2 linked regions of the Caenorhabditis elegans genome follow. The main gene of each other region encodes a partner of the protein of the gene in region 2 in a complex. Each region holds a gene or a part of one and is shown on either strand. Other genes may lie near its edges. The genes, in order: cul-4 and fem-3.

Region 1 (9,333 bases), on a different chromosome or scaffold from region 2:
TTGTTGCAAGATAGTTCAAATTAGGATTCAAGATGCTCTGCTTTAGTGCGCTTGGCCGATGGTTCACTGGATTCTCCCTCTCCGACAGTGACAACGTCGACGGCAGTCTGGAAAAATTTCAGTATTTTTTTATTGGCAGATTAAAGGTAACCTTCTGCTTTATCGGTTTCAAATTTGGTTTTGCTTTTGCATATCTTGATTTGACGGGAACAATTGGTTTTGCTTCTTCTACATTTTGAATTGGAGCTGGTGGCTCAGCGACGGATGGCACCTGAAATTAATCAACGATTGACTAAACTAAAAATTTGTTAAAACCTCTGTGCTCGTAACGATAGGATCAGAAGATGATGTTTTTACTTGTAGAGGTGCTTCAGAAACGATTGGCTCCGCTGGTGCAGATGGTTCAGGAACTGTATGGACATTTTTGACTTCGTTTAGCTGAAATTTTAAAATAAAATCTAAATGGGCTACAGTTGAACTCACAGCTGCAAGCTTTTTAGCTCCAATAATCGGCTTCACTTTGGCATATCTGGATCTAGCGGGTGGTACAAACGGTTTATGTTCGATTGAAGATACTTCAGAAGTTGATGGACTAGCAGATTCAACTTTCAAATTAACCTTCGGTGATGAGTTTTTGCTAGTTTCAGAGCATTCTTCTGTCAGATCAAAAATACTTCTCAACTTTTGGATTGTCGATTCGCTGGCTTGAGATCGTATATTTTTACCTCTCGCTATTTTTTCACTTTTAGATAAGGTATCGGGAGTGACGTCAGACGAATCAACTTTGATTGAAATTGGAGTGACTGGAGCCGGAGTTGATTCACGTATATCTCTCTTGATACCAGTCGCCATCGTCTCCAAATCTTTTAACATCTCGTAGTTCACTTTATTCGATAATTTCTTCTCCGCAATAACTTTCTCAACGGCACTAGCAACAGATGTAGACGTGGTGTCAGTTTTTCGATTGGATCTCGGTTTCTTCTTCTTTACTCCACCATTCAATTCACGTTCGCGTTTCTTCTCTTCAATCTCTTTCATTGCTTCTCCATTTGCTTTCATCCAATAATCTGTTTTGATGGCTACTTCACTTTCCGTCAGAATGTACGAATCGATTTCTGAATCTGAGATGTCTTCTTCTAAATCGGCATTAACTATTGGATGTGGGACGGGTTCGGGTTCTGGCTCCGATGTTCTTTTTATTCCAAGAGATTCCAGCGAAGGACGATACTTATCATATTTTTCCAATGAGTTCGAGGTGCTGTAATTACAATATTTAAACAAACCTAGAGTTAAAAATACAAAGAAAACTCACCAAGGATCTTCTTCAGCAGCGTTGAAAACTGTATTGATAATTTCATTTCGTACCATTTCATCAGCTCCTTTTTCCAACCCTGAACTCTCCACAACTGTTTCAGTAAGCGTCTGCATTTTATCATTTTCCTTACCTAGATTTTCACTAATCATTCGTGCATATGGACTTTTTGAAAACTTTTCCTTCCTCTTCTTATCGAGTGCAGCTTCAACGTGAGCTTCCATTTCTCCTAGTTGTTCTTTCATTGATTCTGCTTGCTCAGCCTCTTTTCTCAATTGATCCTCACGTGCTTTCCGTCGTGATTCTCGATATGCTGGTGGATCTTCACTATGTTCTAGATCAACAGTTGAAAACTCATCAATCGTAAGACTTCCCGAAGGGGTTTGACTGAATTCATCGAGACGTTTTCTGATTACGCCTTCACTGATGTGTACAACACGAACGATATCATTAATGGATCGATTGAAATTAAGAGATCTTGCAGCAATTAAAAGAGCAGCTCCACAGATTCCAGTTGGTCTTCTTCCAGTAGACATCCAATCTCTTTTCATTCTTTGTACTAGTCTTGTCGCCAAATTCACAACTTCTTTCTGTTTGTCGCCAAAATCCAAAACACATGCGAATCGCATAATGTAAAGACAAGGATCCGTGGATGGGAGATTGATACGCAATGAACGAGAAAGGTAGTTCAAGTTTCTTCCCAAATCGAAGACATTAATCTGAAATTGCACTTATTAATTACAAAAGTTTACCGAAATGTCATACCTGAGTGACATCACTGAAATCGAGCAACAAATGAGCAGTGTTTTCTAGTCGACAAGTTATATACATGCAAACAGCAACAACGGATGATCTATTACGTCCACGTGTCAGGTTACGAGATACGCACATTTTGTAAAAATTGAATGCAGTGTTCATACAATGTGAATTTATTCGTAACTGACTGCCGAGCTCATCAATAACTTTCCGGCCTTTTGCATACGTCATTTCTCGAGATTCTTGAGATCCCATTCCATTGAAATTGTTAGCTGCAGCTCGCTCTGAGGACACAAATTGACCTGAAATAACATTTTGTAAATACTTTTAACATTCCTACCACATACCGACTAGAGTGTGACCTGATCCACCAGCTCGCTCTTGAAATTGATTTTCAGTTACGACAATGGATTCTTCGAGCACAGTTCCGCACGCAGTGCACGTAGCATCTCCTCTAGCAGCATCCTCATCAATTTCAGAACTTCCGCAGTTCGAGCAGGTTCGAACCATTTTGTGTCTGCTTAACGAGAAACTTTGAAAATTGATTAAGAAAAAAAAAACCAAAAAAATGTAAGATCACGGATATTTCAACCGATTCGAGTAATTTCGTATAAAGAATTCAATCAAATAACCATGTATTCAACAGTATTTTGGATGCACATGTTAGGTGAAGAGAAAAACATAATTGAAAAAACAGAAACTAACATTTAGTACATTTTTCTCTAAAAAAGACGAAACTCGCACAAATAAAGGAAGAAAACTGTTCAATAACAGGGCAAACGAGATGAGAAGAGACCAGTGGCACGGATAAGGATTGAATTTGAAAAAGGAATAAAAATGATATTATGTATTACGCAACATAATTATAGCTAGATGCCTCTTCAGGATCCCTCGATATATATTCACGTTCGATGAGTGATTCCAGGCGTTTCTTGATATCGGCGGTGCTCACGGGGAATCTGAAACAAAAAAAACTCATTTAGAATAATTAACATTTATTTTACCTTAGCAGCAAATTTAGCAAAATTTAGACAAATTTTTATCAAGGAAATCGCTTCAAAATGTCAAAATTCATATTAATTTACTAAATGCTATGTTTTTGAGAGTATTGAAAAAGTTCTCAATTTTTACATTTCCTTTGATTTTGGTTTGTAGTTGTGTGCCAATTTATATTTTACATTCAATATTTTCATAAAAAATTTCAAAACCAGTTTTTATTTTTCGGCTTATATTGATATTACTATTTCTCGAATAAAAAATTGATTGAATTTTTTGAATTTAAAAATAAAGTTTTTTTTCTGAAAACTTACCTCAATTGTTGCAATAACTCCGTCATTAGAGTTTGATGGTTTAGCTGCTTTCGAGCCTTCATAATTCTTACAACAGCAGCGTCAATTTTGTATTGTCGATCAGAATTCACTTCTTCTTTCACTTCCTTCGTCTCTTCCACAGCTGTCTTTATATTGACCTGAGCAATCCTAACTCGGCAGCGCTTCTCCGTGAATTTAGAATTTACAACAAATTTCTCGTTTTTCAAATTTTCCACAGTACCTTCCTTCTAAACAAAGACATTTTTAGTTGAGTTGAATGAAAAGTTAGTTACCTTTTCGGATCCACCTCCTTCGACTCTCTGCAAAACCTTAGGCTTATCACGTCCACCAAGAAGTGCAAGCACATTTTTGACGACTTCAATTTCCAGAATCTTAGTGTGCTCAACAATTTCAGCGACAGTCCATGTCTCACATTTGTTGAAAAGAAGAAGAATGACAGTTTGATACATTGTTGCAATTAATTCTTTCTTACATCCAGGCCTGAATGAAGCAGAAATAACCGCAGAAGCCAGTCCGTGATGCCATTTAACATTCCGATTTCCATGTTGAACACGGTAAAAATCTTGATAATCGGTAAGTGTATCTCTCATCTCTTTTGGAATATTAATTTCATATGTGTCATAGGTTGGCCAATATTCTGGAGTTATGACTCGAGCAGTGAAATTCGCTTTTTCTTTGTTCATATGTTCTAGATATTGGTTGAATAATCTTCCATAATTTTCAGATGCATCCATATCTTTGAACATTCCTTCCAATTTGTATGTGAACGCCGAGCCACACTCTAAATCAAAAAGTTATTAATTTGAAAACTAAAAAGTATTAAATACCTGTCTTTAACTTGCATAAAACCATCTTTTCAGCATCAACAGATGCACTTCTTTCAAGGAAAAGCCGCTTAGCAAGACCTCTTTTATAATATGCTTCAAAAACGTCTTTTCCACGAAGATATCGGAACAACACAATAGCTTCATCTACCATTTGATCGAGAGTTGTGTCGTCTGATACATTTTTATTGCTACTGTGAAGAAGTGTGTGGAAGTGCTTTGCTGAAAAATAGAAATTATAATATAGAAATTTCGAATTATGACTTACAAATAAGTTCTGCAGATCGATCGACTTGTTTATTTACAAAAGATTCAAAGGCATCTGACAAACATTGTCTCATTTTTACTGGATCATTTGCGGATTTGAAGCTTCCAGTCACTGAAATATGATTAATGATCCACGTATGAGGAATTTAAAATTTTTGATAATAATAAAAATAACAGAGAACTTTGAAATACTTACTGATAAAATCAACTTTCTTCTTGAAAGCAAGTAGCTCAGAAACAAGATCTTCATCAGGACACGTAGCAATCAATTTCTCTCCGCGTTTTTTCAAATACTTTGAGAATTGTGTACGTACTTCATCCTCTCCACCAACGCATTGACGGCACAAATTAAACATTCGGCCGATATCCGAAATGTTATCAGAATCGATAAGATCGTCAAAATCATGTGTGAGAATTTCAGGAATTGCTTGTTGAATGAGACAGTTTGTCACTGTTGCCTGAACATCTTTTAGAGCCGACGGTTCATCAAAGTTCACTTTCACTAATTGCGAATATCGATTTATCTGGTCTTCACAGTATTCCATGTAATCGTTGCACTAAAATAAATATAAGTAATCGAGATTTTTCAAAGAATGAAAATAAAAACCTACATTCATTTTTGGAACTTTATCGATTCTCTCATTGTTATAGTGCTCTCGAAGTTGGCTAATAAGGAATTTTGCAAATTCTTCAGACACATGAACTGTTTGAAGCATATCTACAAGACTTCTGAGAGGACTGTCCACTGGATACCTCTGCATAATTTTCTGCATCGCCATATAGAGAGCATTGAACAGTTTTGTTGCTTTGAATTCCTTGAAAATGTTCGGGAAGAATGTTTTTTGAAATATTTGCATGAAACATTCCCACAAAGGGAGAATTTCTGTGTCTGTAGCGCCGAGCGCAATTCGGTCCAGATGAAGAAAAATATTCCTGATGAGATTCTGAGTTAAATCTATTGTTTTTTTTTAAATAAAACTCTTCACTTACGATTTTAACTGGATATGCTTGCCAGATCTGCCCAAACTTTTCCAAATATTGCTCACAATTGTCTTCTGCAAGAGGAACTTGCTCAACCGCATTTAACGACTCCTTTAATGATTTTGCAAACTGAACAACAATTGCAACGAGACGATCGTAAAGTACTTTTGATTGATTTTTATCGCACACAGATCTGACCTTCTGAAAACGCTCAGTTTTTACAATGTTTTAAACAATCAAAAACTTACGCTGAATAAGCCTTCCAAAGTGGTTACTGTTTTCCTATCTTCAAGAATAGCGAAAACATTATCCGAAAGAACAGCCCAATCTCTACCAACTGATCCGTCTGTACCTGGATATCAAACAAAATATAACACCTATCGAAGAATAAACTTACTATCAATATTGGTGTCCCCCATCGCAACATCATTTTGATTCGCGTTCGCTGGAAATCAAAATAACTAATGAAAACTTTACAAATATTACCTTTAAAGTTCTTTATCACAAGTTTCTTTTTGATGCGTTCATTTGTTGCGGTTGTGCGTGAAGAATTGCCGGTTTGACTCTGAAAACTTCCCACCGATGAACATTTTAATAAATTAATAACTCACTCTGAAATTCTCAATAAATCCATTTCCATGTCTGATTTCGCTGCTTGTTGAAACATCGTCCATTTCTCCGTCGGAACGATTTTCAGTGTCGCCGCGCATTTGCTTAGCCTGCAATTTATTTTTTCTCACATTGAAAATATTATTTAATTACTACCTCTGTACCTTCAACGGTGCTGGCTGTGCGCTTTGACGATTTTCGAAGCTGTTTACTTCGACTTTTTTCTGTTGAAATAGTCGGTGGTGCTCCAGATGTCATCCAATTTGTTCTGTTGAAAATGTTAGATTATTAGTATCTCTGAAGAAACAAACAGGACGGTTGGCGGTTTTATATAGAAAGATATTTTAAGATTAAAATAAAACGATTGGATTTAAAATTTCCTTTTCTCAAAATTAGATTTCCGCAGTTTAGAAAAACAATTTGGCTTAAATAATATTTGAAATGCCGAACTCATGCATTATTTTGAAGGCAAACTGAGGCCAAAGACGTTTGCTGACGCGCGGCGTGCTGGCGCATCTCTAGTGCTTGAGAGGCTGTTCATATTGAGAGACGCAGACTCTGCATAAAACTGTATTTATTATAATAGTAGGTCTACAATTATTTTTGTAAAGATTTTCTACAATGTTTGATCCTTTCATTGGAACCAAAAATTTATCAATTCAGCATTATCAAAAAAAGAGAGTATATCCAGTACTTGACCAGAAGAAGACAATTCCAACATCTGTGTTTGTGTTCATTTAATAAATATTTTATTAATTTCAACATGGAAAATTAGGTCAAAATACTTTGAAAAAAACAACCGAGATGCCTGAAAAATGAAAGAAAATTAGGGGACCCGATAGGAAAAGTCTGTTTAATTATTTGGTAGAGTAATAAAACTAAAAATGGAAAGGATTTGAATTCATATGAACTCGGCAAATCTCGTTTGGAAGTCGATGAGAAAGAGGGTTCGGTGCAGAATATCTAGAATCGGTCGAAACAAGAGTAGTAAACGGTTGATGGGGAATGAATAGATGATTATGAGAAAGACCTCCAACTCTTGTAGACGGTAGAAATGGATTTGGGGCTGCAGGTGTTGGAAGAATGAAACGAAGTGGAAGAGGAGTCTGAAATAATTGATAATTCAGATGTATTAAAGATTTAAACCTACAGTAGTAGTTGCAACATTTCTCATCGATAGAGCCTGTTTCAATGAATATTCATCAATCATTTCATTTTTTTCCAATGCCTTTGAAATTAACTTCAAGATAATTGGATCAACAACTGTTTGAATACTTGAAAGTGAAGAAGAAGAAGCTGATGGCATTGTTGCAGGAGTCTTGGTTTTATCAAAATTTGGTTGTCTAGTTGTGGTTGAAAATGGAATCGTTTGAAGTGATATTTGTCTTGGAGTTGTGGTAGTTGTTGGAATGGCTGAAAATTGACAGCTTTAATCGGATGTTAACTTAATTTATTAATTATAAATTGCAATTTTGAAAATGTTGTATATACTGAATTTTTCAAATAGTTGTCTTGTAGATGTTACCTGTGGATGTTCTTGTTGTGGTTGTCATAGTAGTCGTGGTAATTTGAGGATTAGTTTTAGTAGTGAAAACATTGAAAACTTCTTTCTTTTTTTCTGGTTTCTGTGATTTTCTTGGTTTCATTGTTGTAAAAGTGGCTCTATACGGAGAATCAATCTTCGTAATATCAATGACTGGAGCTACTGGAACTGATGCAACGGGTGGTAATTGGGGTTTAAATTGTGAAGCAGCTAATAATTCAATCATATCCTTATCTGGAATAATGAAATGTTTAATTTTCATAACAAATATCTCGAAGAAAGGAAATCACCTTTCCCGAGTTCAAACAAATTCTGCCACGGACCTTCCATTGCAAAGAGAGGACTTTGACTAACTACTGGAAGGAATCGAGAAGTTACTGTAGAGTTAATATTCAAAAGTTTGTGAAGCATTTCACTAAAATCTCTTTGTGGTCGTGTGCCAGGCCTGAAACAAGATTATTTGAAAATGCAGAATATTGGATGAACTTACAATGGTTTCGAGCTTCTTTTGCTACGTTTCCTTTTTGATTCTCCATACATTCGTCTCATTTTAACTAACTGTATTTTCTGTTTCTCAAAGTTTGTTAATGGTCGGATAAGATGATCTCCAACGTAGACGTGATTATTCTAGAAAAAAACCGTATTTGTTAATTGTAGTAATTAAAAAGTGAAGTGACTATTTCATAGATTCTGACAAAAGAATACGGTAATTGGTCTCGAAGCGTCTTTGACCTATCAATTTCCGATCGTGTCGACCCCTGATACCGTAATATTGAAGATTTACATTAAAACCAGATGGTTCTAACTATACACAATTGGAAAAAAAAACTTACTCGAACAATACAAGAATCCAACACCACTTCAATAGAATCATCATACCCTCCACAGAATTTTGGAATTGTAGGAAACGAGGCTTCGAAAGAATCAAATGAAGATGATGAACTGTAAAACGCTTAATTTTCAAAACAATCGAGAATAGAATGACAAACTCTTTGAATGCACTTAGATCATGCTGATACGAACTAAATATGTGTAGTTCGTGATCATTCAACTTTCGCTTGGAAACACCATGAAGGAATAGGGTACTGTCCTGAAAGATTTGGAAGATATTTTCAAATTGTTTTCTACGAATGCTTACAAATACAGCACATGCTGGTCCAACATAACCATATCCAGGTTGATATTCAGGTGGTGTATTTAGAATTAGGGCATTACCAATTAAAGGTAATATAAAATAATGAAGACTTTTAACCATGGCAACCAAAGGGTACACCTAGTCAAAGACTCTATTTGGTCGTGATGAGTTCAAGTTACGAAGCAAGAACAAAGATGGGACTGTGAGGAGACAAGGGGCGTCGCTTCTCGGCACACAAACTATGGTGTTGTTCCCACGGCCGGAAGCTGCTTTACACGAACCTTATGCAATCGGACGCTCTATGTTCGTACACACACACAATACGCTCGTACGATCGGCCAGCCTGCAACCTTTTTCGATGTGAGGCTTTGTTTTCCAAAATTAAATATACACAAACAGACAAAATCTAATTCTCGTTAAAGGTCAGAAAGGGGTTGGAATGGAGATGACAATGAAATAGAGGTGGGAGGAAATTTGATACGATGGCCGGCGAACGGACGGTCGGGAAGAAAAAAAAAAACTAAATTTGTCGAGAATCTTCACGTTGTTTGCTTTTGCATGCTCTACACACTTTG
Region 2 (8,154 bases):
AGCGTGACGTTTTGGGAGAGTCACATCTCCGGTTCCTACTGGTTTTCCGTGCTCGTTGAAGTTCACGGAGACGTTTCGAATTTTGAATTCAGCGAAGAGTTGACGAAGGTCCCCGGAGTGAACGGTGTGGGCCAAGTTTGACAAGTTGATACGTACTTCACGGTTTTCTGGAAATGTTAACCATAACTTAAGAGCAAAATGGCATTTATAACTTACCATTTGCTGGAATAGATCTGTCAACTGTTCTGATTCCTCCACTTTGGCGTCTTGGTTGCGCAGTTGGTCTTCTTGATGGTCCAGCAGTTCCAGTGGAGAATCTCTTTTTAACTCCACCAACTGATGCTCTTTTGATTGGACTTTTCTTTGTTCTTCTGATTCCAGCGGAAAGTGGAGCATCGATAGCAATAGCACGAGCCATTTTGATAGAAGTTCTCTGAAATTTGATTCATAAATAATTGATTGAAGGCAATGAATGTAGAAAGCTGAGATGTAACATTGAAAGAGGGTGAGCAAATGGCAATAAGAGAACTAATATAGTCAATTGACTATTGTTGTACATAAATTAAAATAATGAAATGGAAAAGAGACCAAGTCGGCGGAATGAATGATTGACTCTGTGTGGGATATTCTCTGAGAATGGGGAAATAGGTAAACGCAGCGTTTGGAAGTGAAGACTTTTCAATCGATAGACTAGGTGGATGGAGTATCTGGAGATGGCTACTTGGAACTTCGGAGAAGATGGGAAAGGTCGTTTATCAAATTGGCAGAGATAGTATTATTTTAATTAGAATAGGTAGGTGACATCAAAAAATAAAACACAGAAATTACCAATTTGGGGGAGTTGTTGAAGATTGATTATTAAATTCGTAGTTTCTTTATAAAGTGCTCGATTCTTATCAAGAGGAACTTGGACATCAAAATTTAAAGATTGTAAATTATAAAGTTTAGAAAAATCTAGCCTGTATAATTTTTCTTAGTTTAGCAAAGCTTTAAAAATATATACAAAAGATTGGTAAAATGCGACTTACTTTAGAACTACAGAGAATTTCATATAACTATAATACATTGGAAAAGCAAAAAAAACCATAAATAAATGAAATATGTTATGACCATCTCGGTAAATGAATGATAGAATGAATTAATGCATATAGATCGAGCATCCATTAAAAACAGATCGTTGTTAAAAAGGCGGGACTGGTGCTGTGGAGGAAAGGGTGACGATCTTGGGATTGTTAAGAAAGTTGGCAGATGATGTATCGAATGGGAAAATACGAGTTTTCTAGCACACGCGAATATGTGTAATGTATATCAGTTGAATAGAAATTCAAATTATATTCATGTGGAATTGTATCGATATGTATCCTTTTCAGCATGACTTTTGTACTTTTTTATTCAGAATGACAAAAAAATATTAAAAATTGAAGGAAAGATGCTACATTATGAAATTGATGGTTATATTGGAAAAATATAACTTTCGAAATATTTTACCAATTGAGTCGTAGTAGACTAATTGCCAAATAGTGGGTTTTTTGTAGTTCGGCTTCTAGCAATGAGCAATAAACGTTAAATCAACTGAAAATTACACAAAAACTCGTAAAAGCAACTGGAACTCTTAGTGTTTCATTCGAAATGTTTCGAATGCCACACCCGTACACATTTGAATGAGTGTAAACCAACTGCGCACTCAACAGATGCTATTGTTTGTCTACCAGAGCGCACTTGCGTAGCGTCTAACCAATTGTAAGCAGCTTAATCGATATTATCTATACCTTTATTTTAAATTAAACAAATCTTAAAACAAATTAAAGTGATATGGAACCAGCTTTTTTTAGCAGTGTACCATTATGACATTTTTCAAAATGTAAACCAGAGGATTCGAAAGTGAATGACACAAGAAGCGTTAGTGAGATAGAAGGCAAATCGGTGATATTAAATAGGAAATCTGGGTAAAATATAGAGAGTTAGACTTTCAAATGAAATAATATTAAAATTAAAAGCAAATCATTATAACAATTGATATCATCGTTTCCTGGAGCAATCAGTAGCATAAACATTCATAATCCGAACATCATCAGAATAATGAACTTCATAGAAACGATTTTGATATTCTTCAATATCTTTTTTTCTTTTAATTGTTTCATAATAACCAGATACATCTAGAGGTGAGTAGCGAGAGATTTCAAACGGCGAAATTTGTAACTGTAGACGGGAAATTGAGAAATCATCAATTGCCAAGTCGAATATGATGTCTTCTGAAATTAGAACAAAACATAGTTGTGAAAGAAATTTTTTAATCGAAAAAGTTTCAGAATGGACTCTTTTTAAATGTGGAGAATTTAGTAATACCGAAAACGTGATTTTTTAAAAATTTTTGCTAACATCCGGGTTTGAATTCAATACAAAAAAATGCCAAAATCGAAAAAGCATGTTTTCAAACGATGGATTTTTTATGTCGATTTTTTGTCTTTCTGTTGTAGAATTTAGAAATTTGCGACTATGAAAACAAAAATTCCCTTTACGCTATTCGACTTTTGATGATTTTTTAAAGTTTCGCTTTAAAAAAATTGTGTTTTATATTTTGAAAAACATGTCATGTATATACTTTTAAATTATTTTAACAATAAATTCCTACCAACATTCTCCATGGCTAAACGATAGTGCTCAATACGTGGAAGCCCTCCAAATCCAGTTATGTCGCACCAAATCGTTGTGTGATATACAATCTACAAATGTAAAATAGTTTTTAACGCTTAAAAGCTTTAAATTAATATATGAGTACATAAATAACATTTTTAAAATGCTTACTTCCAAAATGCAGAGCTTCGCAAGCCAATCCAAAACCGTAATAATCTCATTTTCCAGTGGTGGCATTCCAAGTGCTTCATGAAATCTTCGAGCATAAAACTTTGAGAACTCTGTGCCACGTGGAACCACAAACGTAGTATGATACTTGGATTCATCTTCGTTCCAAAAATATTCGGGTGGATAAAAAGCGGCGATATTTTGAACAAGGCGTTGACCACGGGTAGCAGCGTAATTATACATTTGGGAATTGTTCCAAAACTGTGGCATTCCCGGAATATTGAAATAGAGTGTATGAAGAAGAGACGTGTAGTGATTGGAAAAGGCCGTACAATTCGGATCCGGATTGGGCTGGAATTAGGATTTTAAAAAAAGTAAAATACAAACGGAAATGCGCCGTTGAAGAGTACTGGAATTTCAAGATTTTGTTTTTGTTAAATTTTCACCGGTTTTTACATGTTTTCCTGATTTCTTAAAATCCCTGTTTTTTTTTGGTAATTGCGTAATTTTAGTTTTTTAATTAAAACAATTTTCCGAAAAACTAAGAAAATTCCGCAGCGACGAAAGTTTAAAATTACAGTACTTATTAAAGGCACACACCCGTTTTTATTTAACTAAAAATTGTCGTGTCGAGTCGGATATCCCTTTTTTGGTTCAAAAATCGAAAAAAAAATCGGGTAAGTAGAGCTTGTTTTAATTTATGATAAAACAAGGAAACTCACTAAAAATTGTCGAAAATACATGTAAAACCGAAATTCATCGCGATGAATCAAATCTTGCAACTCGAATCGAGTTATTTGACTGAAAATTAAAATTTTATTTTATAAAATTTCAGATTCGCCTCACACTTTCCCGTTCCGCCTTGCCAAATCATACATAAAATTGCAATAAGTTACAATTGTCTTCATTGTTCTTTGAAAAACGAATCGAGTAATTTCATCATTCCTTTCATATCCAGCACCGGCTGTTATTAATTGAATTGAAGTAATTTCAAGAAATCGATCAATTGAAAATTCATCCCAAGGATTTTGATCGAGAAGACTATCATCATAATACGTAGCTCCTGTCAATCGTTGTCTTTGTAAAGGAATTCCAGATATTAAAGGCCAATTGAGATCATCTACTGTTAAATTAGTCACTCCACAGTACTCGTCGAATCTTCTCATTTGTGCACGGAATTTGACATTTCTTCTGAAAACCTAGTTTTTGATCATTTTAGTTTGACTGGATGTGAATTAAAGAATTTAAAACAATTTCAACAAAAAAAAACATTAAAAAATTTAACTTACTTTAATTTTAGTTTCTGAGCTCTCGTTTCTCTGTCAGCTTCTACATCATCTGAACCCGGATCCACCTCCATTACAGTTACAATTGAAATAAATGGAAATCTCTCTTATTTTTACATTGAAATTTCTTGCTGGTCACTTCTTCCAATCCACCGTAGTTAACCGACTGGGTGGTCTACTACCCGTTTCTGGTTTTCTCTGCACTCTCTTCGGAGAGAGTGCAGACAAAATTCTCCGCGTTCGCAGTCCTGGTTCTGTTTCGAGACGTTGACGTCGCCCGACACCACTCCTACAACTGTTCGGACAGCGTCTGCAATTTTCGATTAGTAATATAGTTTTGGTTGTGAATATAATATAAATTGTGAAAAATTGCATTGAGAATTAGGAAAAGAGCATGTGAGAAGAGGAGGGGAATTTTTAGAATAACTGAGAATATAATTTAGAGAAACACGATTACTTCGCATCAATTCAGAATATCTTTTAAAATCTGAGAAATTTTGGTTAAAAAATAACACAGGGCGCTTAGTTTGTGGTTTTCTCAATTCTGTTTAATTTTTAAAACAGTAATTCTTATTTCGATAAACTAAAATGAATATGAAATTTTCTTACGATTAAAAAATGCATGAAACCAGATATAACAAATTGAAGGAAAACTGAAAAACTTCAGAAAGTGTTTTTTTCTGAAAATAAAAGCAGAAAAATTCGAAGCTCGCGCAAAGAACGTAAACGCGCTCCATTGCTAACTCATTTGAACATTAGTTTTTTTCATTGGGCTTTCAATCTTGTAAGTGATGTTTAGGCATCTAAAAGTTTTATAAATTGACAAAATCCAGCTTAAAAGATGCTATCAAAAACTAACTTTTCAGAATATTTATTTGGCTAATGTTTGACCCATACGTTTTTTGCCGAAAAGAATTTCAAAAATGAAAAGTATCTTGAAATGCATCAAAATCCGGGAATATTGCCGATGGTCAGTTTTTCAGCATTTCTAAATTGAGAGACTGAAATGGGAATTTATTTATTTTTATTCATCTGCTTTTTTATTTCATGAATATCCGCATCTGAAATCAGCTTTTTTTTTCAGGAAAATTGATTGAAAGAAGACAATAACAGCTCGTTGTTCAACATCTCGATTCTTCCATATGAATCGATGAATGGAAAAACCGTGGCATTTGGTAAAGTTTTGGCTGGAACCGAAGTTGTCTCCCGCATCGCCTTCAATAAATCAAACACGAAGGGTTCCAAGGCTTGCGTCATCACCGACTGTGGAGAAGTTATCTGAAAGGTTTTATCATAGATTTTCAAATTTTTTGGTTTATTATTATTTCTTTCTTTTTGTTCCGATAAGTCCATATATGAAATTTGTCCAGTTTTTATGAAAATAAACATTTATTTTATTTAATATTTTTTTATTCATCATATGCATGGGGGTTATCATCCTCGCTGTACTTCTGGCTTCGGCGACGGTGATCGCTTGGCTGCTCTACAAACACTTGAGAATGCGTCAAGCTTTGAAGGTTTGATTTCAAAATAAATTTATGAATAACTTCAATAAATTTTCAGCATCTCAATCAGCCACGATCATACCCAATCATCGGTCACGGACTCATCACCAAGCCAGATCCAGAGGGATTCATGAACCAAGTGATTGGAATGGGATATTTATATCCAGATCCACGAATGTGTCTTCTGTGGATTGGTCCATTCCCATGCCTGATGCTCTACTCTGGCGACCTTGTTGAAGCAATTTTCTCGTCGACGAAACATCTGAACAGGGTTCGCATACGTTTTGCTTGAACCATGGCTTGGAATCAGTATTTTGACGAGCCAGAAAGAACAATGGCGTCTTTTTTTGATTTTCTTTTATTGAAGATTTTGGTTCAGAAATTGTGTTGCCTTGGTGCAGAGTGAGAATTTCAATTTATAATTACTTATTTCAAATGTTTATTTTCAGTGAAAGAGTTGATGTTCTCTCCGTTATCGCCCTTTGTACTCTTGATATCATCTGCGAAACTTCCATGGGAATAGCTATCGGCGCTCAACTCGCTGAGGTTTGGGAAAACAACTCTAATCTCAACATTTCTAAATACTTTTTCAGAATAACGAGTATGTATGGGCAGTGCACACAATCAATAAACTGATTTCAAAGCGAACAAATAATCCTTTGATGTGGAATTCATTTATTTACAATTTGTACGGTAGTTTTATCATTAATAAGGTCAATTAATTTGTATTTTTAGAACAGAGGACGGACGGACGCATGAAAAATGTCTTCATATTTTCCATGATTTTACGAAGAAATTGATTGGCGAGAGAAAATAAGCACTACAGGAGAATGATTATAAGATGGAAGGTCGTCTCGCATTCCTGGATCTTCTTCTCGAAATGGTAAACAGTGGACAAATGGACGAAACAGATGTTCAAGCAGAAGGTAACACATTCATGTTAGAGGGTCACGATACAACATCTACAGGATTAATGTGGGCAGTTCATCTTCTGGGAAATCATCCCGACGTTCAGAGAAAAGTTCAAGCGGAACTGGATGAAGTAATGGGCGACGATGAAGATGTGACTATTGAACATCTCTCCAGAATGAAATATCTTGAATGTGCATTGAAAGAAGCTCTGCGTCTCTTTCCATCTGTTTTAATTATTACGAGAGAACTGAGTGATGATCAAGTAATTGGAGGCTTTAATATTCCAAAAGGAGTCACTTTTCTGCTCAACCTGTACCTTGTTCACCGCGATCCTGCTCAATGGAAGGATCCTGATGTTTTCGATCCGGATCGTTTCCATCCTGAAAACTCAATTGGTCGAAAATCATTCGCCTTTATCCCATTCTCAGCTGGAAGCCGTAATTGCATCGGTCAACGTTTTGCACTTATGGAAGAGAAGGTCATCATGGCTCATTTGTTGAGAAATTTCAATATAAAAGCTGTCGAGTTGATGCACGAGGTGAAAATTGAAAGCGCCGCTGATTGGGGAGACTTGCATTTTTTGTATGATTAAGCAATTTAAGCTGTATCCAATATATTGAAAATTATCGCGATGTCTATTTTCTCGCTGAAATGTTTCATTTTGCAATTTTAAATTGCTCTCATAAATAGGCACTATTGAAAATAGAATATAGAAAGTTTTACTTTTTATTTTGAATTTAAAAAATGTTTCTTCTAATGTAAAATTTTTTTCAGTCACAACAAAAGTAAACTTTTTCATATTACGTTTTTTTTTTGAAAGAAATTGTTAATTGCAAAATGAGAAAATTCTAGCGAAGAAATAGATAAATTACAATAGTTTTCAATTTTTTGGATAAAAAAAGCTTAATTAGCCTTTTTTATCCCCATTGGGGATTCCCCAATCGACGGTACTTTGAAAATATAACATGTAAAAATTAAATTTTAACTAAAATTGTTCAGGTCCGTCCAAAAATGGAGATCATCGTTCGCCCGGTCACTCCAATCCACATGAAGCTCACCAGACGCCGTCCCATCGCCTCTCCATGATTTCGAAATAATTTGGAAATTTGAAAATAGCCAGTTTTATAGTATTATTCGAGATTATGTTTTTATTGCATGATAAATTGGAAATTGCTTTTTTCAAGAGAAATCATCAACATGCAAAGGAAATGATCCATCCGGGTCATGAAGTATTATTCAAGTAAATAACATTTTTGAAAACTAAAATTTTTTACAAAACATTTATTACAAAAATTGGACTAATCAAAACGGTAGACATTAATGAGGTAATCATGCATTCCATCCGGCAATTCAATACAAACTTCGAACATCTTCAATTCATTTCTTTTCATCGGAATGTTCATATTCCAACCAAAAAATGAACCAGTCAATGTAACGGAATCTACAGTAGTCGGTTTTTCGTCTGTCCAACGGAACAACACCTTCTGTTGTCCACCTTTGACAAGGATGCTTCCACTGCATTCATTTTCAGATTCAGCAAATAAATGTGAATCTGGAAAAAAGACAATGAATCAAAAGCAAATTGTCTAAACCGTTCTATGGTGAAAAAAAGAACTGACCATCAATAACAATATCAGCATCTTGCTCAT

Evidence for each region.
Region 1: fem-3 (region 2) and cul-4 share a complex: the UniProt entries of both Caenorhabditis elegans proteins name them as parts of the E3 ubiquitin-protein ligase complex.

Annotation. Positions count from the first base shown.
Region 1 is NC_003280.10:7,299,116-7,308,448, reverse strand, and holds cul-4 (Cullin-4), read right to left. Parts: upstream 6,349-9,333; 5' UTR 6,339-6,348; coding exon 6,237-6,338; intron 6,191-6,236; coding exon 6,083-6,190; intron 6,037-6,082; coding exon 5,958-6,036; intron 5,917-5,957; coding exon 5,869-5,916; intron 5,824-5,868; coding exon 5,720-5,823; intron 5,673-5,719; coding exon 5,481-5,672; intron 5,435-5,480; coding exon 5,102-5,434; intron 5,048-5,101; coding exon 4,687-5,047; intron 4,603-4,686; coding exon 4,492-4,602; intron 4,446-4,491; coding exon 4,227-4,445; intron 4,181-4,226; coding exon 3,672-4,180; intron 3,627-3,671; coding exon 3,379-3,626; intron 3,028-3,378; coding exon 2,919-3,027; 3' UTR 2,691-2,918; downstream 1-2,690. Other genes in the region: brf-1 (B-related factor 1), read right to left, coding at 21-107, 152-271, 316-438, 484-1,258, 1,313-1,406, 1,446-2,031, 2,078-2,370, 2,416-2,578; C30G12.1 (uncharacterized protein), read right to left, coding at 6,959-7,186, 7,231-7,493, 7,606-7,857, 7,914-8,068, 8,114-8,250, 8,457-8,565, 8,613-8,713, 8,762-8,878. UniProt on the Caenorhabditis elegans protein: Component of cullin-based E3 ubiquitin-protein ligase complexes which mediate the ubiquitination and subsequent proteasomal degradation of target proteins.
Region 2 is NC_003282.8:9,101,210-9,109,363, reverse strand, and holds fem-3 (Sex-determination protein fem-3), read right to left. Parts: upstream 4,399-8,154; 5' UTR 4,163-4,398; coding exon 4,092-4,162; intron 4,002-4,091; exon of another isoform or gene 3,994-4,001; coding exon 3,649-3,993; intron 3,604-3,648; coding exon 3,525-3,603; intron 3,154-3,524; coding exon 2,806-3,153; intron 2,724-2,805; coding exon 2,633-2,723; intron 2,253-2,632; coding exon 2,020-2,252; 3' UTR 1,757-2,019; downstream 1-1,756. Other genes in the region: aly-1 (Chromatin target of PRMT1 protein C-terminal domain-containing protein), read right to left, coding at 1-167, 217-418; C01F6.14 (Ovule protein), read left to right, coding at 5,243-5,467; gldi-10 (AMP-activated protein kinase glycogen-binding domain-containing protein), read right to left, coding at 7,804-8,057, 8,125-8,154. UniProt on the Caenorhabditis elegans protein: Required for male development. In XO (male) animals, fem-3 directs male differentiation in all tissues. In XX (hermaphrodite) animals, it specifies the first 80 or so germ cells to be sperm. Negatively regulates male development when bound to tra-2.